Arabidopsis thaliana: one gene and its partners. The protein of the gene in region 3 purifies or fractionates together with the protein of the main gene of each other region. This does not show direct contact. Each region holds a gene or a part of one and is shown on either strand. Other genes may lie near its edges.

Region 1 (4,249 bases), on a different chromosome or scaffold from region 3:
GATGCTATCTGACTGTTTCAGGTCTCTATACTAGTCAGATACGTGGGAGTGCATATTCACTTATCGTTCTATATTCTTTTATATTCATTCTCCTTTCTTATGCAGATATGGAATGAACACTTCACAATGTCGGGCCAAAATACTTGTGGAGTACTTTGGGGAGGAATTTAGTTCCAAAAAGTGTAACTCGTAAGTCCTATCCTTTTATCTAAAACCCATCAAGTCAAACTACCAAATAGTTGTAAAACCTTTCCAATCTATGAAACAGATGTGATGTTTGCACTGAAGGGCCTCCGGAGCTAGTAGATGTACGAGAGGAAGCTAATCTTTTGTTTCAAGTAATCACTGCTTTTCATGTAAGCCATTTGATTAATCCCAGAACTTCATTTAAAAGTTTGCTTGTTTCGTATGAGTGATATACAATCAAACATATTTCTATTTAGTATTTGAGATTTCGTCTACTACTGTATAACCTTTCTTTCTGAAACTTAAGCCGCTAGTATATTAGTTGCAGGTAGACAATGACTCTGAGCATGCACCATATGAAGATTATGGACTCGGCAACAGCAAACAAAATAAATTATCCCACAAGCCAAATCTTCTGTTCTTCATCAGTAAACTCAGGGAACAGGTAAATCTTCTGTTTCAACAAATTACATAGTGCATTATGTTCTTGATGATATTAATGTGATGCCTTTGGTTAGTGTAGTGTGAAAAATTCAAGGAAACAGATTGTCTTTGGTGGAAAGGTCTTGCCCGTATCATGGAAGCCGAAGGATACATCAAAGAGATGGATAACAAGGTACACTAGTAACCAAAAAACCAACCTTTCTTATGATCCATTTATCGGTAAAGGCGTAAAGCTACGATCACATATTCGGTTAAAACCATGTTACTGATCTGTGTTGCAGGATCGTCGAGTTGAGATTAAATTCATACAACCAACAGAAAAAGGGAAGAAACAACTAGATTTCCAAGATGACAAACCACTCTATGTTTATCCAGAAGCCGACATGCTACTTTCGTTGAAACAAGATAGAACATACAGTGGATTCTCTGAATGGGGAAAAGGATGGGCAGATCCAGAGATCCGGCGCCAGCGGTTAGAGAGAAGAGAAAGAAAGCCTCGAAGAGAAAGGAAACCCCGAAAAAAACGAACACGAGGACGTTCTTCGACGAAGTTACATCCATGGAGAAGCAAAGAATAAGAATCTCAACCCTCTTTAAGTAATGAATCCACTTTATATTCTTTTACCAAACCCATTATTCCATTCATGGATCTTTATGGAAGCATAATACTTCTTTCTACAATTGCTATATCAGGCTCCTTCTTTGCTCTGAGTCCCATCTTGAGGCATAGATACCGCGCCATCGAGAAGCTGAGGCTTGTAAACGAGGCTTTGGTAACGGCGGAAGAGAACGTAACAAGGCTTCAAGAACGTCATGATGTGATTCTCAAAGAGATATGTTCTTATTATCTCGTTAACACCGAGCTCCATGAAGCTTTGGTTTCATCTCGTGCAGCCATTAATGATGCTTCTTCATTTGTCATGGAGCTTAGAAGATTACAGTTGAATATCTTAAACTCTCTTTCTTAATCACATTTTTTGTACTTATTACACTAATTAAAACCAGAGTTTGGGTAATAATTTTTGTTTCCTTAATTTTCCGAATTATCCGCTAATTTTCTACTCTAATTCTCTGGATATTTTAAATAATAGTAATAATCTGCTGTCAAAATAAGATAAGAAAAAGACATAAAGCTGATTATCTTGTAGAACGTGTGGGGAATGAATCTAACGGCTGATATCACTCAAGTGTTCTTTTCCACCTTCCTTTTACAACACCCACGTGTAATGTCATACAAAGAAGTCATTACGACCGTTAGATCAAAGCCAACAAGATCCAATCTTAACGGCTAAGATAAATTACTACACGGATCGCCAACGTGGCAATACGTGGTATATACATACACGTCGTTCTTTCCTCATTTTAAGCAAATCGTAAACCGCCACAAAACCGAAAAAAACACTAATTGTGCTTTCCCTTTAGATTCATTTGTATTTTCTTTTGGAGCTTTTGAACAATGGAGTCATCACAAGCAACGACGAAGCCAACGAGAGGAGCAGGAGGAAGGAAAGGTGGAGATAGGAAGAAGAGTGTTAGTAAATCTGTTAAAGCTGGTCTTCAATTTCCCGTTGGTCGTATCGCTCGTTACTTGAAGAAAGGTCGGTACGCTCTCCGATACGGTTCCGGTGCTCCGGTTTACCTCGCCGCCGTTCTCGAATACCTAGCCGCCGAGGTATATTCAATCTCAGATCTCGTTGCATTTTGAATCGATTTATTTTGTGTATCTATTAGATCTGTTTAATTTTGAAGTTCTAATGAATTGAACCGGTTTGGTTTAGGTACTTGAGCTAGCTGGGAACGCAGCGAGAGATAATAAGAAGAACAGGATAAACCCTAGGCATCTATGTTTAGCGATAAGGAACGATGAGGAATTGGGGAGATTGCTTCATGGAGTTACTATTGCTAGTGGTGGTGTTCTTCCAAACATTAATCCAGTTCTTCTTCCTAAGAAATCAACAGCTTCTTCTTCTCAAGCGGAGAAAGCTTCTGCTACCAAATCTCCTAAGAAGGCTTGATAAAGAATAGTATCGATGTTGCTTTTTGGTTATATTCGGATCTTAGATGAAGAAGAAGAAGAAGAAGAAACAACTTGTTTTTTGTTTTAGAGGATTTGTGTAGGTATCTGAAATCTTCTTCTCTTTGTTTTGGTTTGTCTTATGTAAAAACCATGGGAAGATGATTATGTTTGTTAACGCAATTTGTAATGGAAAATAATTAAGTTCTGGGATTAGTAACTTCATCTGTCTAATTAATTTCTGGGTTTCGTACTTGTTGATTTAAACAATTTAGGTGGATTAATTGAAATGGTTTTGGTATACACATGGAAAGATTCAGTACAGTTAATGACATTAATTAAAGTAGATAATAATCACGAAAAACATGACATTAATTAAGAAAATGATTGTTCAAATTGGGCTTTGTTTGGGCTTAGTTGATAGGCCCGTTAGAATTTATGTTCTTGGTTCATCTACGAGATTCTGGAAAAGGGGTTTTGGTTTTCCGGTGGGGTTTAGAATTTAAACAAGACGCGATTTCGAATTTCGTTCTTGTAGAATCAAATTGTTTGGTTTCAATCTTGGATTTGCGATGATGAATTTTCTGGTTCGATTCTTCTCTGCGATTGTTCAATTTCTTGTTTAATTTGGTTAAAATTTCACTGACTCATTTGTTTTTTTCTGGGTTTAGAGAAGAGCTGTATCATCTTCTAAAAGAAGCGAGCTTATTCGCATCATTTCTGTTGCTACTGCTACTTCTGGAATTTTATATGCTAGTACTAATCCAGATGCAAGTAAGTTACTATTACCAAGAACCATCTTCTTCATTATGCGTTGTATTTGTCTCTCTTGGTGTTGTGGTTTAATGTGATATGTATTCTAGGAACTCGAGTATCGCTTGCTATACCTGAATCTGTTCGAGAATCTTTGTCGTTACTGCCTTGGCAGATTTCACCGGGTTTGATTCATCGTCCTGAGCAAAGCTTATTCGGTTCGTAGCAAAATTTTCTGATATCTGAATATGATCAATGCCAAATTTACTCTAGAGGTGCAAGTTGCAACTTTGGAATGTCTGTTTCTGTGTATATGATATAGGAAATTTCGTGTTTTCTTCGAGAGTTAGTCCGAAATCAGAAGCACCTATAAATGATGAGAAGGGAGTTTCTGTTGAAGCTTCGGATAGTAGTTCGAAACCAAGTAATGGCTACTTAGGGAGAGATACTATAGCCAATGCGGCTGCTAGAATTGGACCAGCGGTTGTCAATCTTTCGGTTCCTCAGGGTTAGCTTCTTTCTTGTTTTTATCTTTCTTTTGATTTCACTTTAGAATTCACAGTGGTGGTTTGGTGATCTTGTGAATGTTGTAGGTTTCCATGGGATATCTATGGGGAAAAGTATCGGTTCTGGAACGATCATTGATGCTGATGGCACGATACTGACTTGCGCTCATGTTGTAGTTGATTTTCAGAACATTCGTCATTCTTCTAAAGGGAGGGTATGACTAAAACATCAAATATGTTTACTCATACAATCTTGCAAAGGATCTTGGAATAACTTTTGTCTTTGGAATACATATGGTTAATTATAAGATTGGTTTCTTCTACGGATTTATCTTTGATGGAATCT
Region 2 (5,559 bases), 6.4 Mb from region 3:
GCGGTAATTACAAAGACTCTTTGCCCAGCCCGAAGTACCCCGCTAAAGATCCTAGCAAATGCAAGGAAGCACTCATCTGACTCGCTTTTACTGTCATCATCATTTAAACCGTTCATCCTCTCTCTGTGATTTCCATCTTGAGGAATCATTTTCATTGGAATAGCAAACATTTTCGACACAAACACAACACAAGGACTGTCACTGCTAGAATCACAAGCCTCGATTGATTTTCTAACAAGCTCTGCTTCTGCCAGGACACTTGAATCAACATCATCACCACCAATAATTTTCCTTTCTGGAACCAAGCGTGGGATTCTATATGCCTGTGCTGCAATGGGGTCTGGCAGATGTTTCACAGCCATAGACAAGACTGCATCAGACAGAGGAAGCCAACGGCTCATCACCGATTGAAGCACGTTTTTTGGATCCTTGTTCTGAAGTTCGCGTGGTGGAATAGACAAATTGAAAGATTTGATAACTTTCTCAAGAACGGCTTTATCCCCACCAGGATCTAGTGCAGCTTCATAAACCTGCCACAAAGGCTCAAGCACAAACTGCACAAACATTGGTTTCGCCTTGCTTCCAGCACTTAAATTCTTCTTCCCTACTATCATCTTAGTCTTAGGAATATAATAACGAGGACCCCATAACGATTTCTGCAACGCAGTCGCACTAGCTCCAAGCTTGGAGGCATAAAAATTAGCAAACTCCGCAATCCCAAAACCCCACCCGTCTAAAGCACACACGAATACTACATTACCTTTCTGAGGCTGAAAAGTAACTTCTTCATCATCCTCCAACAACTCAAGACTCTCAGCAGACAACTCCCCTGAAGGACTAGCAAGTATAGAATCAACATCCGACAAATACTTCTCTGACTTATACGCACTCACAATCCCGTTAACCTCATGAACAATCCTAATCAAACGAGTATACGCCTCCATAGGACTCAACCTCAACTCAAAAATCAACCTATCAATCTTATTAAGCACCAAACAAGGAGTCAACTTCTCTATCCAAGCTTGACGCAACACAGCATGCGTTTGAATATGAACTCCCTCAACAGCATCAACCAAAACCAACGCACCGTCACTTAACCGAGCAGCTGTTGAGACTTCACTACAGAAATCCATATGACCAGGAGAATCAATCAGGTTCAAAGAATAGTCTTTATATTTAAGAGAAATCGAAGAGCTCTTCATCGTGATTGCACGTCTCTGTTCTTCATCTAGATAGTCCATGAACCTAAGCTTCCCGGCAAGTCTCGGGTGAAGAACACCGCCACCGGAAGAAGCAATTAGGTGATCGGCGAGAGTCGTCTTACCGTGGTCTACATGTGCTAGTATACATATGTTCCTAACTTTCCTACCTTCAGATTCATCCATCTCTTCAATTTACAAAACACACAGCTACCTGCAGATTCAATATATACAAGGATTACATTATCAGAATCGATGCGATTCAAATTAGTAGAGAAAACTTCAACAAAACATAATCCAAATCCTAAAACCTTGTGTGAGAGCTCACGAATTTTTGAATCGAATCCACAGAGTTGTGCACGTCTCGTAAGAATCAAAGAGAGATAAAAACGAGAGAGATGCTCTTTGAAGATTCCATAATATTTTAAAAAGTTCGATTCAAAAATTGAGTGATATGTAAAAAAATCACCTTAATCAGTTGATGGAGCTCAGACGTTTGAAGAAGAATGGTGCGAAACTTGCTTCGGCGGCGAAACAACGGCGGCGCAGGGTTTGGCGATTTCCCTCTGCAAGTTTGTCTGTATAAACATATACAAGAAGACGTGAACGTTTTTGATTTTAATTAAACCGGAACCCTGTAAACCAGAGAGACGGTTTAGTGCTCTCTTTTAACAATTTTAATTATAGTCTCGGACTCTTCAACCGGAATAAACCGGTCTAAAACGTTTTTAATTTCAATTGTACCGAAACCCTCTGACTCACAAAAAGTGTTTAGTGCTCTTTAAACAATTTTAATTTTTAAATCGTCTTGGGACTTTTAAACCGGAATAAATCTTTCGGGTCAAAATTTCCGAACCCTAACTTTAGCCCCAAATTAGAGAGAGATGCAGAAACGGGAGCTTGGGAAATCCGGCGGTAATTCCGGTGGATCTTCGGGTCCACCAGCGAAGAGAGGCCGTCCCTTCGGTAGTACAAGTGCTAACTCAGCTGCTGCTGCTGCAGCGGCGGCAGCAGCGGACGCGATGTCACCGTCAGCTTTACTTGGTCCTTCTCTTCTAGTTCACAATTCCTTCGTCGGTAAGCTCGCAATGACCACTCTATAATTCCTCTCTGTTTTCTTCTTGTGAACGAGTTTTTAATCGGTAATTTTCATTGGGATCATTGGAATTTATAGAGCAGAACAATAGAAGAATAGTTCTTGCGTTGCAGAGTGGTTTGAAGAGTGAGGTGACATGGGCATTGAACACACTTACGTTGCTTTCCTTCAAGGAAAAAGAAGATATTCGAAGAGATGTCATGCCTCTTGCTAAGATAGCTGGCTTGCTTGATGCCCTTCTCTTAATTGTGAGTTTATTTAATTGTTTAGGTGTTGGGATTGTGTTTTCCTCTCTGTTCTTTGAACCAACATGATGCTAAAACTTTGGCAGATAGATGATTGGCGTGACATAGCTCTCCCAAAGGACCTGACAAGAGGAACTAGAGTTAGAACTTTAGGTACAAATGCTTCAGTTACGGGATTTGGCAATGAGTATGATGCTCTAGCCTCTATTCAACCCCCTGGGTGAGCTAATTTCGATACTGCTTTGATTACAGTTTTAAATGATTGTTGCTTATATTTAGAATTAGAACCTAAGTGTTGTTAATATTTGGCCTAGCAGATCCGGGATTGGTTCTTCTGCTGCTGAGGCATTAGGAAAAAAGAGCACTGGTAAACATCAGTCATCTCAGTGGTGGATGGAAGAGGATGGTTTGTTTAATCTAGACGATGAAGGGAGATCAGAGAAACAAATGTGTGCTATTGCTGCATCGAACGTTATCCGCAACTTCTCCTTCATGCCTGATAATGAAGTTGTAATGGCTCAGCATCGCCATTGCTTAGAAACTGTTTTCCAGTGCATACACGATCATATGACCGGTAAGGAAGAATACTAATGTTTTGATACATACAATCCCAACCTTTTTGTTTCTTTTACTAGTTATAATTCCTTACATTTGCTTCTGATAGATTCTTATTTCTTATTGGTTTGAATTGGCTTGAATGTATTCTCTCTGTTTCCTTATTTGCTTGATACTTGATTGGGAACTATGGTCTTAAGACAATCTTTTGTTAACAGAGGATGAAGAGCTGGTCACAAACTCGCTAGAGACAATTGTAAACCTAGCGCATTTGATGGATCTTCGAATTTTCAGCTCGCTTAAGCAGTCATACATCAACATAAAGTGAGAAGTTGTATCTCCCTGCATTCTTAGTTACACAATCCATAACTTGTTTCAAATACCAATGTGAATCATTCATTACTCTTGTGCATATAGTGAAAAGAAAGCTGTTCAAGCTGTGGTCGGAATCCTCAATTCTTCTGTCAAAGCTTGGAATTGTGCTGCTGCTGAGTTGCTAGGGCGTTTGATAATCAATCCGGACAATGAACCTTTCATTAGTCCTTTAATTCCGCAGGTTTGTTAACTTCTATAATCTTCATATGGTTTCTGGCTACTTACTCGTTTTAACTAGTATTTAAACCCAACAATGGACCTATCCCTTGCAGATACACAAGCGACTAATCGATCTTTTGAGCATACAAGCCGTTGATGCACAAGCTGCAGCTGTTGGAGCACTCTACAATCTCGTGGAAGTTAACATGGATTGCAGATTAAAGCTAGCAAGTGAGAGATGGTAAACAAAAACTATACTCCCTCTCTATCGAATACAATCAAACTGTTTTTAGATCGCAACAATGACACACCATTATGATCTTTTTCAGGGCGGTTGATAGGTTGCTGAAAGTGATAAAGACTCCGCATCCGGTTCCAGAAGTATGTAGGAAAGCTGCAATGATCCTTGAGAACCTTGTCTCGGAGCCTCAAAACAGAGGATTGCTACTCGCGTATGAGAATGCTTTCGCTGAGCTGCTTTTTCAAGAGGGTAAGTATTCTGATTCATTTGCTAGGATTTTGTATGAACTCACTGCTAGATCTAATAGCAGAGTTGCTTCAGCTAGAGGAATCTGGGGCATGTAAAAGTCTTCTCTAGATTAGTGGGTTTGATTAATTGATTGTGTTGTAAACTTTAATCATTTGCTATGTATTAAAAAAGCAGTGTTGTTGAACAAAAAGTAGATGGATTCTTCTCTCGCATAGCTTCGACATGTGTTTTGTTTGATCTTTACTAAAAACAAATTTGAGATATTTTGTGATTCAAATTGAAAATAAAATAACCCAAATAATCACGTTTTGACGTTAGAATAGTGTATTGGTTAATCATATTCATATACTATACAATAAACTAACAAGAATTAAGTCACACATAATACAGTGTTTTGTCTTTACATTTTTTGTTATTATTACTCTTTCTTCAAAATCAATGTGTCTTTTCTTGTAGACGAGGAGACGTTTTCTCTTGTTATACATTTTTATTTGGATTCGGTTCGTATAGTAGAACATAATTATATTTTGAACAACCATAACCATTAACCACCTAATTAACCCATAAATTGTGACCAACAACTTTCTACAACGCGAACTAGAGCATTTCTACAAACGTTAATTGCGTATTCCACATATATTTTGCTAAACTTGAATTTCGTGAAGATTTTAGTAACCTTCTTCTTTGGTATATTATGGAGTTGAAAGAATATATAACCGTTGCTTTAAACACACATACCTGTATTTCGAGACAACTCATCTCAAAACTAAACTCTAAAATCAAGTTATTGCAATCTTTCTTTCTTTATGTTCATACAAGATAGTGGTTAACTGATTCACACACTAAACATTTGGTAGAAAAATATCAGAACAATAAGAAGAATATATTTGGAAAATGGTTTGATTGGTGATATAAAATTAGTTAGTGGTTAAAGATGAATGTATAGATAGAAGTGATAAGAGATGGCTTTGAATCTTTCTTTTTGTTTCTGCTAATTTGATGGATATTCAAGCGGTATATTTTGTATCGATCAAATTCTTTATGCTATTGAGATATCTTTAACTTGGAGCGCATTATTGAAACTTTCTTGTATATAATGATTTTTTTACCTTGTTGTATAATATATGTTCATTATATAGTATGAGTAAAGTTGAAGGAGGGAGATTTTATTTAACATGTCTATTAAGAAAACAACATTTGGTGGTTGGGGAAGAAACCAAATCTAATTTTCTAATTGTAGTGCTACTTGAAGAGGGTCCCAAGTCCCAACTTTACTAATCAAATTGCACCTCTTCATTGGTCCAAGTGTGGAGCCTCTAGTGATGTCACGCGTCGAGAAAATAATTGCATAGTTTTCAAGTTATAATAACATGTACTAATACTATAGTCTAAAAATAAATAATATGTGGGTAGAAAGAGACCATTATATGTGGTCCATTG
Region 3 (8,328 bases):
ATATATATCTTACAAGAATTTTTCTTATGAAAGTTTTTTTTTATGTAATAGATTGTTCCCTATTGTCCATACTTTATCATGACGACACACCCTACAACCATACGCATTTTTATTTTCCAATCTCTACTTTCCCATATGAAGAAATCAAGAATGAGATAAATCATATAGTTGACACACTATTGGAACGAATATAAAAATGAAATTAAAATAGAGGATCTATATATAACGTAAGCATGTAAAAAGTTATGACATAATTTAATTGAGAAAAAGGTCGAAAAAGGAGCTGACCTGCAGACGTAATCTGTCGACAAATATCAATCTATATATATTGAGTCTTTGATCACCACATGTGGTCCTAAATTTCGAACCAACGCATAGAAATGAATTAGAAAGTATAGCATATAGCAACCTTTGGCCGCTCCAAACGATCATGCTTTACTTTTTTGATTGTGTCCTATTACCTAAAGATGCTTTTACTATATAATTGAGTTTTACAATTATTAAGTGAATACCGACAAGCGACACAAGCAAATTAAAGTATAAGAATTTTATATGAGAAACTAATTTGACTTTTGTTGTACGTAGCACACAAGACCATGATGCACCAAGAAAAAGAAAAAAAAAACAGAGTGAAACTTGAATCGTTATCCATCAATATTAGTTATTTGTTTCAACTAATGGAGGATCTAAAGGCACATAATACGTCATACCACTTGAAATTTAGTGGAGACTGAAAACTTAAGCATTACGTTTTGATGTTTGTACCAAACTACCAATAGTGTTGTTATAAAATGAGAGTATGCATCTTTAATGTAGATGTGTTGGCATATTTGAAAGCGTTTTTTCAACACTTTCCAGAGATCCAATTTCATTCGGATTCTATGATTCTTGATTTCGTCCGATTACTTATTCGAAAAGAATTTTGTGAAACAAATGTATCGTAAAATTTAATCCCAAAATTTGTTGAATGCTATATGGAATCTAAAACACATGATGTGAAACCAAAGTGTACATCTCATGGCTCAAAATGGTTTGCATAAGCAAAAATCATCTTTTTGACTAAGTTAGTGGAGCCTTTATGAGCCACTCCTTAAACTTTTAAATCGAGCTTATATATTATAAGCAATGCTTACACATGTTAAGGAACCATTGGTTAACATAGTTCAAAAAATTTACTAGACAAAGAATAAAAATAAAGAATTTTATGTATTGGCCACATAGAGTTATTGTTTGTCTCCCATTGCTTTTGTTGACGCATGACATCCACATGAAAATATCATTCTCATCCAAAACTGTTGTCTCACTCACATATCATCCAAGCAAACTATAACTTTCACAAAGGAGATGTCAATTTACATGAAAAAGGCTTTTATTTAAGGTGAAGTGCGGATAAGAATAGTGATTCAAACGAACAAACACAGTCATGGATCGATCTATTCCATTACTAGAACAAGGATCTTTAATTATAACCCATTCAATCTAAAGTTATTATTAGCCAACACAGTAGTCAAAAAATAGGGAAGATAAAGCAACATTCAGTTTCCTATACACACAAAATTTTACTAGATAACAAGAGTCGATCGACAATAACATGGACAAACGTACATCTACAAGTGGGACAATGAACGATTTGAATCATACGTACATATACACCCATTGTAATTCACGACTGAAAGAAATGGGACAAAGAATCTCTAGGCAACACTATCTCCCAACAGCAAACAAATTACTATTTCCGAGAAGAACAAAAAATGTGACTCACACTCACTTAAGGTTTTGAAATTACAAGATTTTAGAAATTGGAATGGACATGTATATGTATTGTCGGTGTGTTGTCTTATAACCTCTTAATGGGAATCGGATTCAAAACAAACCCTCTCATTCCACGTTTGTCAAGCACGTGCTTCTTCAAGAATTTGAAATTTTGGTTTAACGGTACACTCGATTTGATCAGAACGAGACAATTAATTACAATTAAATACAAATTTAGTTACTGTCGGTAGTTTTTTTTTTCCGAATGCTTCCTGTCGCATATATTGTTTTGGTTCTATGAACTCTTATTAGCATATACCAGAATCTGTTGAACCATACAAATTTACTATATTTTCTCGGTGACTCTCTATATAGCAGCAAACCATTAGCGAGACTAGATTATGAACCTTCTAAACATTAACTAAAATACTCAGTTTCAAGCCCAATCAATATCAATATATAGCCCGCAGATGCCGATCAAATGGGCCTGTCCAACGGCCCATTAATAAAACGGGGGTTAAAAATGTAAATACAAGAAGATAGATGTTTGGTGAGTCCTAAAAATCGTAAACCAGATTTCCAAATTTCTCTCCGTCTCATCTTTGTCTCGGTCTCTCTCTCGAGTGTGTGTGTGTCTAAAGGCAAAGAGAGAGATTTGAGAAAACTGAATTACAAAAAAAAAAAAAAAAGACAACGAAAAAAAAGACATCAAATTTGCGAAAGTTGAAATCGAAAACGGTGAATACAAGTTCCCGCCATGGTGGCTCAGCAGCTCCAAGAGAGATGCGGCGGCACTTCTCAAGAAGATCCAGTTGAGACCACCAAGTCTCTGATCTGTGCTCTCAATTACATTTCTCGTGACCTTCCTTTGCCTCCTCACCTCTTCACCGCCGTTTCTTCAATCTACCATGGCGCTTCTTCTTCTTCTCTCTCTGACTCCGATGTCTCTCCGCCGCTACCTACTTCGCCGCCTGTAATTCACTCTCGAGCCCTTCTCCAGCCTCACCCTAGATTTTGATGTTTGCCCCTTTTTGTGTTTTGTGCTTTGTTTGGGAGGTTTTGAATCGATTTATGTGGTCCTGTGATTTGTTTTTGTAGCTTTGCTTTCGAGTTTATGTTCAAAGTTTTCTCCTTTTTCGAGTTTCTATGGAAATTAGATATCTTCAGTGGCTTGTTTTGTCGAATTACAGTCTAAAGGTTTTTGCTTTAATCTGTGGTTTGGTCTCTTTGTTGTTTTTGCAGGCGAATAAAGCTCCCTATGGAGCTGATTTGATGGGTGAATTCGAGGATGCACTTTTGAAGCAGAGACCAGATTGTGAATCAGGCTCTCGATTGATACAATTACTGGATAATCGGAATAAGAGTCATATCCAACGCCGCTTATCTGAACTTGAAGGTTATTATCGTGTTTATTACTCCTAAGTTGCACTTCAATCCATTCTCAAGTTTTGATTTTGTTATGCTTGGCAACAGTTTTTTTGTTACTGGAGAACTATTGTCAATTATGTTACTAAAACCCTTTATTCTTCAAGGGGGATGCTTTGTGCTTACTCTTTGTGTTTTTGAATCAGAATTACCTTCTACTAGAGGTGAAGATTTGCAGGCAAAGTGCTTACTTGAGCTTTATGGGCTTAAGGTATCATCGTTGCTAGATGTTCTCATTGATCGTTGTTGTTATGTTACATTGTTTGAATTGTTATATCTTTGACATTGACACTTTACCTGGTGAGTTACAGCTACGGGAATTGCAAGGCAAGGTTCGAACCGCGGTGAGCTCGGAATTCTGGCTACGTCTGAACTGTGCAGATGTCAGTAGCCAAGTATTTGACTGGGGCATGATGCGGTTGCCTCGTCCATTTTATGGGGTTGGAGATCCTTTTGCTATGGAAGCTGATGATCAGTTCAGAAAGAAGCGTGACGCTGAGGTGATTTACCTTTTATTCAGCTAGCATATTCTGGTGCAACTTTTTTAGTTCCTGGATTTTATTTTAACCTATGATAATGAAGTTTCCTGATGAGATAAGGCCCCTTTTGAACTATGGCTCATATATCTTAGCAGTACAACTAGACATGTGTATAAATATATCACTAGATTCTGCTTTGTTGGAACTCATTTAGATGGATTTAATAGAATTGAAATGAAAAGTGTACACAATTTCTAGTTGTTATGACATGATTTTATTTTATAGCTTTCAATCTTCGTGATTGGCATTGCTGATGTGTTAAAAGTCTTTGTTCAGAGGTTATCACGTTTAGAAGAAGAGGAGAAGAATCTGATTGAAACTGCCAAGAGGAAATTCTTTGCAGAAGTACTCAATGCAGTACGTGAATTCCAGTTGCAAATTCAGGCGACTCAAAAACGCCGTAGGCAAAGGAATGATGGTGTGCAGGTATGATAGAGTTTACTTACGCGGTTATTGTGATAGTAGTTCCAGTTATCTTTTAATATTACCAATCAATATACAAACATCTAAAATTTATTTTGTGTGTACATTATTCGAACAGGCTTGGCATGGGAGACAAAGACAACGCGCTACCCGTGCTGAAAAGTTGAGGCTCATGGCCCTTAAGTCCGATGATCAAGAGGCATACATGAAACTAGTAAAGGAGAGTAAAAATGAAAGACTAACCACTCTTTTAGAGGAGACAAACAAACTCCTTGCTAATTTGGGAGCTGCTGTTCAACGTCAGAAAGATGCTAAACTTCCGGAAGGCATTGATCTACTTAAAGACTCAGAATCTGACTTGTCTGAACTTGATGCTCCAAGAAGTGAACCATTGCAGGATCTGCTTCCTGATCAGGATATAGATATTACTGAGTCTGACAATAACGATGACTCTAATGATTTACTAGAAGGACAGAGGCAGTATAACTCGGCTATCCATTCAATACAAGAGAAGGTAACGTTGATCTCTATATACTTAGTAGCTGTATGGTGAACTGTTTAAACCACTGCCATCTCAGAGACCAGGGAATTTAAAATAGCAATATATACTTTTAACAGGTGACGGAGCAGCCCTCGCTTCTAGAAGGTGGGGAACTACGATCCTATCAATTAGAAGGGCTTCAATGGATGGTTTCTCTATTCAACAATAACCTCAATGGAATATTAGCTGATGAGATGGGTTTGGGAAAAACTATTCAAACAATTTCTCTGATTGCGTATCTTCTGGAGAATAAAGGTGTGCCTGGGCCTTATCTTATAGTTGCTCCAAAAGCTGTGCTACCAAATTGGGTAAACGAGTTTGCAACATGGGTACCAAGGTATGTTGCAAACAATATTTCTCTTGGTACTGAGAAATTGCACTGGTATGAATGTTATGTCTGAAAATCAGCCTTTTTGTTTTTTTGACAGCATTGCAGCTTTTCTGTATGATGGACGTTTAGAGGAAAGGAAAGCAATAAGGGAAAAAATTGCAGGAGAAGGAAAATTTAATGTGTTGATAACCCATTATGATCTTATCATGAGAGATAAAGCATTTTTAAAGAAAATTGAGTGGTACTACATGATTGTTGATGAAGGACATCGGCTGAAGAACCACGAATCTGCTCTAGCAAAGACTTTATTAACAGGGTACATCTCTATATTCATCTGTCTGAAGTGAATGATGTTGGCTAACTATTATGTTTCTAACAAAAATTTATCCGGGATGCAGCTATCGTATAAAACGCAGACTTCTGTTGACCGGGACACCCATACAGAATAGCCTTCAAGAACTATGGTCATTGCTTAATTTTCTCCTTCCTCACATCTTTAACTCGGTTCAGAACTTCGAGGAATGGTTTAATGCTCCTTTCGCTGACCGTGGTAATGTCAGTCTCACGGATGAAGAGGAGCTCTTGATTATTCACCGCCTGCATCATGTGGGTTCTCTAGCTGTCTTTCCTTAAATTTCTTATCAAAATTTGTATGCACTGTTTTAATGTAATTCACTCTGTCACTTTCAGGTTATAAGGCCGTTTATACTGAGAAGGAAAAAGGACGAAGTAGAGAAATTCCTTCCTGGAAAGACACAGGTCATATTGAAGTGTGATATGTCGGCGTGGCAGAAAGTGTATTACAAACAAGTTACAGACATGGGCAGGGTTGGCCTTCAAACAGGTTTGTAGCTTAACTCACGTATACTCTCTCCCTAATGTTGCACTCATCTTTGAGGTAAGAGAAAATGAATCAGAAAGAGGAGCTGATTTTATGCAAACGTAATCACCATGTGCAGGATCTGGGAAATCAAAGAGTCTGCAAAATCTAACGATGCAATTAAGAAAGTGTTGTAACCATCCTTATCTATTTGTTGGAGGAGACTACAATATGTGGAAGAAACCTGAGATTGTGAGAGCTTCAGGGAAATTTGAACTCCTTGATCGTCTCCTTCCAAAACTGCGCAAGGCTGGACATAGGATTCTTCTCTTCTCCCAAATGACCCGTCTCATTGACGTTCTTGAGATATACTTGACACTTAATGATTACAAATACCTTAGACTCGATGGTACCACAAAGACAGATCAAAGAGGGCTTTTACTGAAGCAATTCAACGAGCCAGATTCTCCCTACTTTATGTTTCTTTTGAGCACGCGTGCTGGAGGTCTCGGTTTGAACTTGCAAACTGCAGACACTGTTATTATCTTTGACAGTGATTGGAACCCACAAATGGACCAACAGGCCGAGGATCGAGCTCATCGCATAGGGCAGAAGAAGGAAGTCAGAGTGTTTGTTTTGGTTAGCGTTGGCTCTGTTGAAGAAGTAATATTGGAGCGTGCAAAGCAAAAGATGGGCATTGACGCCAAAGTCATACAAGCTGGACTTTTCAACACAACTTCCACTGGTATGTCTGTCCGAAAGAACAATATGAGGGCTTCTGCTTTCTATATCGATATGGTAATCTCTTGATGTGGTTTTTGTGATTATATCAACAGCACAAGACAGAAGAGAGATGCTTGAAGAGATTATGCGTAAAGGAACAAGCTCGCTCGGGACAGATGTCCCCAGTGAGAGAGAAATAAACCGGCTAGCGGCTCGTAGTGAGGATGAATTTTGGATGTTTGAGCGAATGGATGAGGAGAGACGAAGGAAGGAGAATTACAGAGCCCGTCTGATGCAAGAGCAAGAAGTCCCTGAGTGGGCGTACACTACTCAGACCCAAGAGGAGAAGTTGAACAACGGAAAGTTCCATTTTGGTAGTGTCACAGGTAAGCGAAAACGTAAAGAGATTGTTTACAGCGACACACTAAGCGAGTTACAGTGGCTGAAAGCCGTGGAGAGCGGTGAAGACCTGTCAAAACTCTCAATGAGATATAATAGGAGAGAGGAGAACGCAAGCAACACAAAGACATCAACGAGCAAAAAAGTGATAGAATCTATCCAAACTGTGAGTGATGGGACGAGCGAGGAGGATGAAGAAGAGCAAGAAGAAGAAAGAGCGAAGGAGATGAGTGGAAAACAGAGAGTGGACAAGTCTGAAGAGGAAGAAGAAGAAGGTGAAGAAGAGAATGATGGAAAGGCAATATTCAAGTGGAATACTCATAAGAAGAAAAGGTCTAGATACTCTTTTACGTGTTCTTCGTCTGACTCTAGAGCTCAAAGTTCCAATGGAAGTAGACGAAAATGAAGAAGGTGAGGTGAGATCTGAGTTTGACTTTGGTCTCTTCTTCTACGTGTTTGTGTGTCTTCTTGCCAATGTAACTTATCCCAATCTAACATGTAATAGTAATACATGTATTTTAATTGGTCTCTGGTTAAGTTTAGCTTTTTGTTGTTGTTTTAAGGTACTACTACCAATGTATATGTTTCTTATGTAGAATGATTTATTCGGGATTGAAAAACCCTTTTCACCTAAAAGAAAACATACAGCATGTAATAATTTGTTCAGAAGATCTAAGAGACCAATTCATTTTTTGAGCTACTCTAAATGTGCCCTTGCCAAAATAGCATCCAAACCACTGTCTATGAGTACAATACAAACTAATAAAAGATAAATACACTCACAAATTCATCTTCATCATTCTCTCTTAAATCATCATCATCATCCACATTATATACGTTCTTATCCAAAGGTCCAAGTAACTTTGGACAATTCGTGAATATCACTTTGATTTCCTCAATGCCTTTAAGAGAGATCATATTTCCATCAATGTTCAACATCTTGAAACTTCCTTTCTTGACAACAACACGAGCCAAGCGCAATGCTCCTTCTCTTCTCAAGTCATTGTAGCTCATATCAACATATTCTAACTCCCAATCTTCCATACTCTTTACAATCTCAACACATCCCTCATCTTTTAGATCATTTTCAGACAAATTCAACTTTTTCAGATGTCTCTTTGCTGCCAAACAAACTGCGATAGCTGTAGCCGCCTCATAAGTTATGTTATTTCCAGCCATTTCTATAACTTGAAGAGATGGAGCGGAGTTCTTGAGAGCGTTTACTAAAGCTATAGCACCTCCATTCTCTAGATTTGTATAACTTAGATTAATTACAGTCAAGAAACTGAAGCTTGAAAATGGTTTGCTCATAGAAACTCCAACTTTTATATGAGTACAAGTCTCGAATGCAGTCTCCTCTATAGTATCCTCATTG
Region 4 (5,227 bases), 1.5 Mb from region 3:
AGCGCTGGACGCGGTTCCGCACCGCTGTCTTTTGTGTGGAAGTTTAAGAGACTGGTCGGTTTTGGATCTGAGAAAGAGCTCAGAAAAGCCGTCGGAGAAGTCCATAACTGCGTCGATGAGATCATTCGGGATAAGAAGAGGAAGCCTGCCAACCAAGACTTTCTCTCGCGGTTGATCGTCGCCGGAGAAAGCGACGAGACGGTGAGAGATATGGTAATAAGTATCATAATGGCGGGGAGGGACACCACGTCGGCGGTAGCCACACGGCTGTTTTGGTTGATCACCGGTCACGAGGAAACCGAGCACGATCTGGTTAGTGAAATCCGATCGGTCAAGGAGGAGATAACGGGGGGTTTTGATTACGAATCATTGAAGAAACTGAGTTTGTTGAAAGCGTGTTTGTGTGAAGTGATGCGATTGTATCCTCCGGTGCCGTGGGACTCCAAACACGCCTTAACCGATGACCGGTTACCAGACGGTACGTTGGTGCGTGCCGGAGACCGGGTAACGTATTTTCCATATGGTATGGGGAGAATGGAAGAGCTATGGGGGGAAGATTGGGATGAGTTTAAACCAAACCGGTGGGCTGAGTCTTATGATAAAACCTGCTGCAGAGTTTTGAAAAAGGTGAATCCGTTCAAGTTTCCGGTTTTCCAAGCCGGCCCAAGGGTTTGTCTTGGGGAAGAGATGGCGTACGTGCAGATGAAGTATATTGTGGCTTCCATACTTGACCGGTTTGAGATTGAACCGATCCCTACGGATAAACCGGATTTTGTGCCAATGCTCACGGCTCACATGGCTGGTGGGATGCAAGTCCGCGTTCATCGGAGAGATCCTTCTCTTTCCCCTTGAATATACAAACAAAGTCAATTATCATGGCTTTTTATTTTATGTAAAACGTCTCTATGATCATTCATACCCAAAATTATTTTCTCCTTTGGGTAAACAACTCAACTTTTTTTTTTTTTTTTTCAATCCAAGTCATAAAGTCTCTACTAAATTTTTGAGTTTTGAAGAAAATTCAACCAATATTAGCTCAGTTATTATATTTTTGTTTGAAAATGACCCATTTTGCATTTGTTATCATCTTGGGATGATGACTATATTAAAAGTTCAACGTGAGAGCACAATGCCTTGGTCTTTTTCTATCCATAATAATACGTACGTTATTATTATTCTACAAGACTAGATCGAGCCAATTGGAAGTCAGTACGTGGAATCTACAAAAGAAAGTGAAAAAGTCAAGTATTTATCTTTCTTATATTTTGTCGCATATGATGCACGAGCTACAAACCAAAGTAAAAACTCTTGAAACTTGAGTAACAATGTTTCACTTAGAAAAAAAACCTATAAGGAACGACACTGATCAAGTGTCCTGGACCTAAGTGACTTCTAGGTAAAAGTAGTGAACTCATGAACTTCTTGGCCCATCTGCATCTTACCCGCCTGCTGGCTTCCGGTTCAAGTAACGTATTGCAGCATCCTCCACCCTGCAAGAGAATTCTCAGTGATTGTAAGACAAGTGATGAAAAGCAGAACAGTAGAGATTATTACCATGGCTGATTGAAGAACTCTGATCGGCCTTCTTTCTCAGCGTTTCGACTTGCTTCTCCTGCAACAAGCTTCAGATCTTTGGTCTGAGATTCCATCAAGGCATTGGTGAATTCCACCGGTGACTGGCTAAACCCTAAGAAAAACGCCCGTCTCCTTCTGTGCTCGTGGATTTTCCTTATGGCTCCGCATATGGCTTCATCACATGCCTCAATCTCTTTGTTCTTCTCTGGATTAGCGAGCAGATTGGAAAGCTCCGTTTGGACCGGTGCTGGTATGTCCACAAGCACATCGTAACATGCTGAGATGGCTGGATTGTTCCCCGAAAGCTTGATCTTGTGTACAAGCTGAATGGGAGGCGGAGGTGATAGGTGCTGAGATATCTTATGAGAGAGCATAGTGAATTTCATCTTCTCTTCCCCAAAAACACTGTGGAGAGCAGCATCACAGTTGAAGAAAGAAGGGTCGTTTGGGTTTTGCAGTTTCCTGACTTTCACGTAATGCCAGATTGCCGCAATGATTCTTGGGCGAGTGTCAACCTCAATGCCCAAAACTTGCATCAAAGCAGGAGAAGTCTTGAACTTCTCAGGGACGTAATTCATCTCCAACAGTATAGTAGCTGCAAACTCCTGACACCCTATCCTCTTTATCTCAAACCCTTCCAGAGGAGCAGGCGATCGATCCCTTTTCCATTCGATCAGATGGTTCTCAGGATACAGGCTCTGGTCCAGGGATATCTTTAACGTTTTGAAGAAAGACGAGAACTTGGGATAAAGTGGGTTTGAATTCTGAACTAATCCACCAGTGTGGTCAGGATCCAGGACCCTGCCGAAAATCCTAAGAGTCCATGTGGGAGGGTCAGGACCAGGGATCTGGTTGGAAAAGGTGTTGAAAACGTAGATCCTAAGGGTCTTCTGAATGGAAGGAGGGTTCTTAAGGGAGTCTTGGATGTCAACTTTCTTTCTGAAGAGAGCGGCATCAACCCGAGACTCAAACTCAAGAAGCTGTGTGTAGAGAGCAGACTCGGGCAAGACGGCAGCAACGCGCTCCTGCAAGGAGGACTTGTCTGGAAGCTTATGTTTCTTTTTCCTGGAAGCTGGAGTCAACTCCATACTAGGAGGAACAGCAGGAGGTCCTCCAATGGGAGGTTTATGTGGGAACCTTCTTCCAGGAGCACTAATCCCTTGGTCTTGAGAGAGCTGAAACTGAGGTTGAAAGTTAGGAGGGGCCATGTGGGAGGGAGCAAACGATGCAGAGGCCATTCCAAATGGCCAAGGCAGAGAGCTTTGAGGCCCTTTTAGTGCGTTCAACTCGTTATTCCCAGACATTGCTGATCACAAAAAATTGAATACAATCCCAAATTGGTGTCGACAGTAGTTACTCAGTAATTTTGGCTAGAAGAACCTCATCAAAATCACAACACACACACTCTATCGAATTTTGCCCTTTCTAAGCCGAACGTAACCCTAATTTAGTGCTGCGCGAGGATAGAGCCCTAATCAATTTCCCCCCAAATCTAAATAGTAAGATATAGGACACAACTTCTTCTTCTTCAATACAGCAGAAAGCGTATAATCTCAACTCCAGGAGAAAGAAAACAAATTCAATTCCCTCTGGAAGAAGAAGATGAAGATGATTCTTCTTCGAAAAAAAAAAAAAAAAAAAGACACGGCGGACCTATCAATGCCCACCTGAATTCTTCAACCGGGTCAAAACCCAACCATTAGTTAAAGGCCCAACGGCCATGGTTCGTGGGTCCATATTTAGATGGATCAATATTGCTTCTCGGCAATAAATCTAATTCCATGACTATAGGTAAAAAATCAAATTAAATCTAATCCAAATTATTTTTAAAAAAACTCTTAATAATCTACACCAATTTATTTCCAGATAAATACTATTTTTTAACTCTAAAACTAAGATCATGACAACCTTTTTTTTTCCCAAATAACTCTAAAATTTTTAATTAGCACATCTACATCTTAATTCTTAACAGATTCTATAGTATTATTGTTACTAATTAGAAATTACAATGATTATTTTCGACAAATGTAAACCTTATTGATATATAACATAATGCAATAATTCACAATAAAACACTAAGAATATTGTTCATCACCGGTCCAAGTCACCTTAACTTTGGGACCAGTTGGACCATCTTGACCCCGCATTTCTAAAGGAATTTTGTTGATGAGTTTTCGCAAACCTTTCCGTAAAAAGATGGGCAAAATCTTTGCGACAGAGTTGAGAAATATGTCAATCCTGTAATGGACTCGAGGTCCCCATTTCCTAAAATAATTCAGCCACGGTGGCTCAACCACGCCAGGTCCCGCAATCACTTCATATCCAATACCTGCGTCAAAGCATTTGTCGCTTCTTGCCATGTCGTTCCTTATTCCACTTTTGCCGCCACCTTGCAACACGACTCCAGGTTTGGAGAACATTGCATGCCCATGAAGAGACGAATATACTACTGGTTTGTTTCCACCTTGCATGAACTCTAGATCGCATGCATCCACTAAAGTTCCTCCACTGTGTTCAGAAAAGTAAACACGCCATAACTCACCATTGAAGTTGCTGATGCGTAATGTAACGTGTTCCCAGTCTCCAACATGCTCGCCAATATTTCCTAGCGACAGGCTCTTGATAAACAAAAATTTTAAATGTGCATTTCCGTTATAGGGAAAGAATAGCCATACTACAATATCTGTGAAAGTAGCTCCAAACATTGGTTTGATGTGTAGATACACCTTAGTGCTCTCTAAATCTCCCCTCTTAACCTTTTCTCTAGCCTTTTTATCGACTAGATAATCTAACCAAAACAAGTCATCATTGCAACCTCCTTGTGGAAGGTTTGAACCATTTGGATGTATCGGGACCGGGATGGATTCGTTTCCTTTCTTGTGTAGCAAGGCACCGTTAGCGAAAACCCAATTGACAGAGGAAGGAAGGAAATCTTCTTTTGGGTGTAAATATATCCAAGGAGAATACGTTTTAAACAAAACTCTAGTTTGATTTTCGCTTGGCATGCTTGACAAGTCAAATTTTGTATTTTTTAAGCAGAATAAAGGAGGGGGATGAGGAAGAAAGTTTAGTTGTTTGCAGCTGAATGTCCCTGTGAACACACCTGTCGCCTCTACTCCTCTCGTGGCCGGTCTCAAACTAGAAATAGTCATATCTTTTATCCTCCATACCCATGTATCGGCTTCACTCTGTTCTGTGAGATCAGATCGAACACAGCTTATAGAATTTTGTCCCAAAGAGGGCTTCATAGGAGAAGTAGTGACATATAGACCAACCGCATGATATCCATTAGGACATAGGGGCTGCCAAAAATATGCAGGCCCCTCTTGTTTGATAAGCAATGTTGTAGTGTTTCCAACTTCAGTGTAGTCGACTGGTGGTCTTAAATTACTTCCCGATACGTCTTTTGCAACAAGAATCCAACCAAAAAGCTGTCGGTTGTTAGGTTGTGCATAGAAGCCAAGTTTGAAGAAATTACGAGGAATAGTAGTTGGTTCAAAGATGCTGACTCCCATGTTATCCGGCCCTCCTTCATAAGTTCTCCACACTCTGTGTGATGTTGAGTTTGAGATAGAGATTTGAGTAACCTCAAGACCTCCCATATCAATGCTTCTTTTGCCAAAATTTCCACCATCGGAAGGCATACTAGGCA

What was found.
Region 1: the proteins of ATCHR12 (region 3) and HTA7 fractionate together in Arabidopsis thaliana (co-fractionation; one large-scale study listed by BioGRID). This does not show direct contact.
Region 2: the proteins of ATCHR12 (region 3) and LFR fractionate together in Arabidopsis thaliana (co-fractionation; one large-scale study listed by BioGRID). This does not show direct contact.
Region 4: the proteins of ATCHR12 (region 3) and AT3G01890 fractionate together in Arabidopsis thaliana (co-fractionation; one large-scale study listed by BioGRID). This does not show direct contact.

Annotation. Positions count from the first base shown.
Region 1 is NC_003076.8:9,791,203-9,795,451, reverse strand, and holds HTA7 (histone H2A 7), read left to right. Parts: upstream 1-1,891; 5' UTR 1,892-2,086; coding exon 2,087-2,302; intron 2,303-2,408; coding exon 2,409-2,645; 3' UTR 2,646-2,943; downstream 2,944-4,249. Other genes in the region: RECQSIM (RECQ helicase SIM), read left to right, coding at 1-21, 106-189, 269-356, 509-631, 710-802, 912-1,208; DEG14 (Trypsin family protein with PDZ domain-containing protein), read left to right, coding at 3,217-3,231, 3,316-3,418, 3,508-3,615, 3,720-3,905, 3,991-4,118.
Region 2 is NC_003074.8:8,161,932-8,167,490, forward strand, and holds LFR (ARM repeat superfamily protein), read left to right. Parts: upstream 1-2,009; 5' UTR 2,010-2,083; coding exon 2,084-2,276; intron 2,277-2,373; coding exon 2,374-2,543; intron 2,544-2,626; coding exon 2,627-2,760; intron 2,761-2,857; coding exon 2,858-3,114; intron 3,115-3,313; coding exon 3,314-3,419; intron 3,420-3,512; coding exon 3,513-3,651; intron 3,652-3,742; coding exon 3,743-3,870; intron 3,871-3,958; coding exon 3,959-4,214; 3' UTR 4,215-4,419; downstream 4,420-5,559. Other genes in the region: AT3G22980 (Ribosomal protein S5/Elongation factor G/III/V family protein), read right to left, coding at 1-1,385. UniProt on the Arabidopsis thaliana protein: Involved in leaf and flower development. Plays roles in leaf development partly by associating with AS2 and repressing KNAT1/BP transcription. Required for the formation of anther cell layers and normal expression of genes that regulates anther development.
Region 3 is NC_003074.8:1,801,466-1,809,793, reverse strand, and holds ATCHR12 (SNF2/Brahma-type chromatin-remodeling protein CHR12), read left to right. Parts: upstream 1-2,263; 5' UTR 2,264-2,509; coding exon 2,510-2,725; intron 2,726-2,994; coding exon 2,995-3,148; intron 3,149-3,323; coding exon 3,324-3,388; intron 3,389-3,488; coding exon 3,489-3,677; intron 3,678-3,992; coding exon 3,993-4,142; intron 4,143-4,257; coding exon 4,258-4,653; intron 4,654-4,757; coding exon 4,758-5,017; intron 5,018-5,108; coding exon 5,109-5,327; intron 5,328-5,409; coding exon 5,410-5,617; intron 5,618-5,701; coding exon 5,702-5,855; intron 5,856-5,970; coding exon 5,971-6,576; intron 6,577-6,667; coding exon 6,668-7,359; 3' UTR 7,360-7,653; downstream 7,654-8,328. Other genes in the region: AT3G06000 (RNI-like superfamily protein), read right to left, coding at 7,713-8,328. UniProt on the Arabidopsis thaliana protein: Probable chromatin-remodeling factor that is functionally redundant with CHR23 in root and shoot stem cell initiation, and root apical meristem (RAM) and shoot apical meristem (SAM) maintenance.
Region 4 is NC_003074.8:307,984-313,210, reverse strand, and holds AT3G01890 (SWIB/MDM2 domain superfamily protein), read right to left. Parts: upstream 3,205-5,227; 5' UTR 2,880-3,204; coding exon 1,555-2,879; intron 1,491-1,554; coding exon 1,439-1,490; 3' UTR 1,138-1,438; downstream 1-1,137. Other genes in the region: CYP94B2 (cytochrome P450, family 94, subfamily B, polypeptide 2), read left to right, coding at 1-852; AT3G01880 (vacuolar sorting-associated protein (DUF946)), read right to left, coding at 3,651-5,227.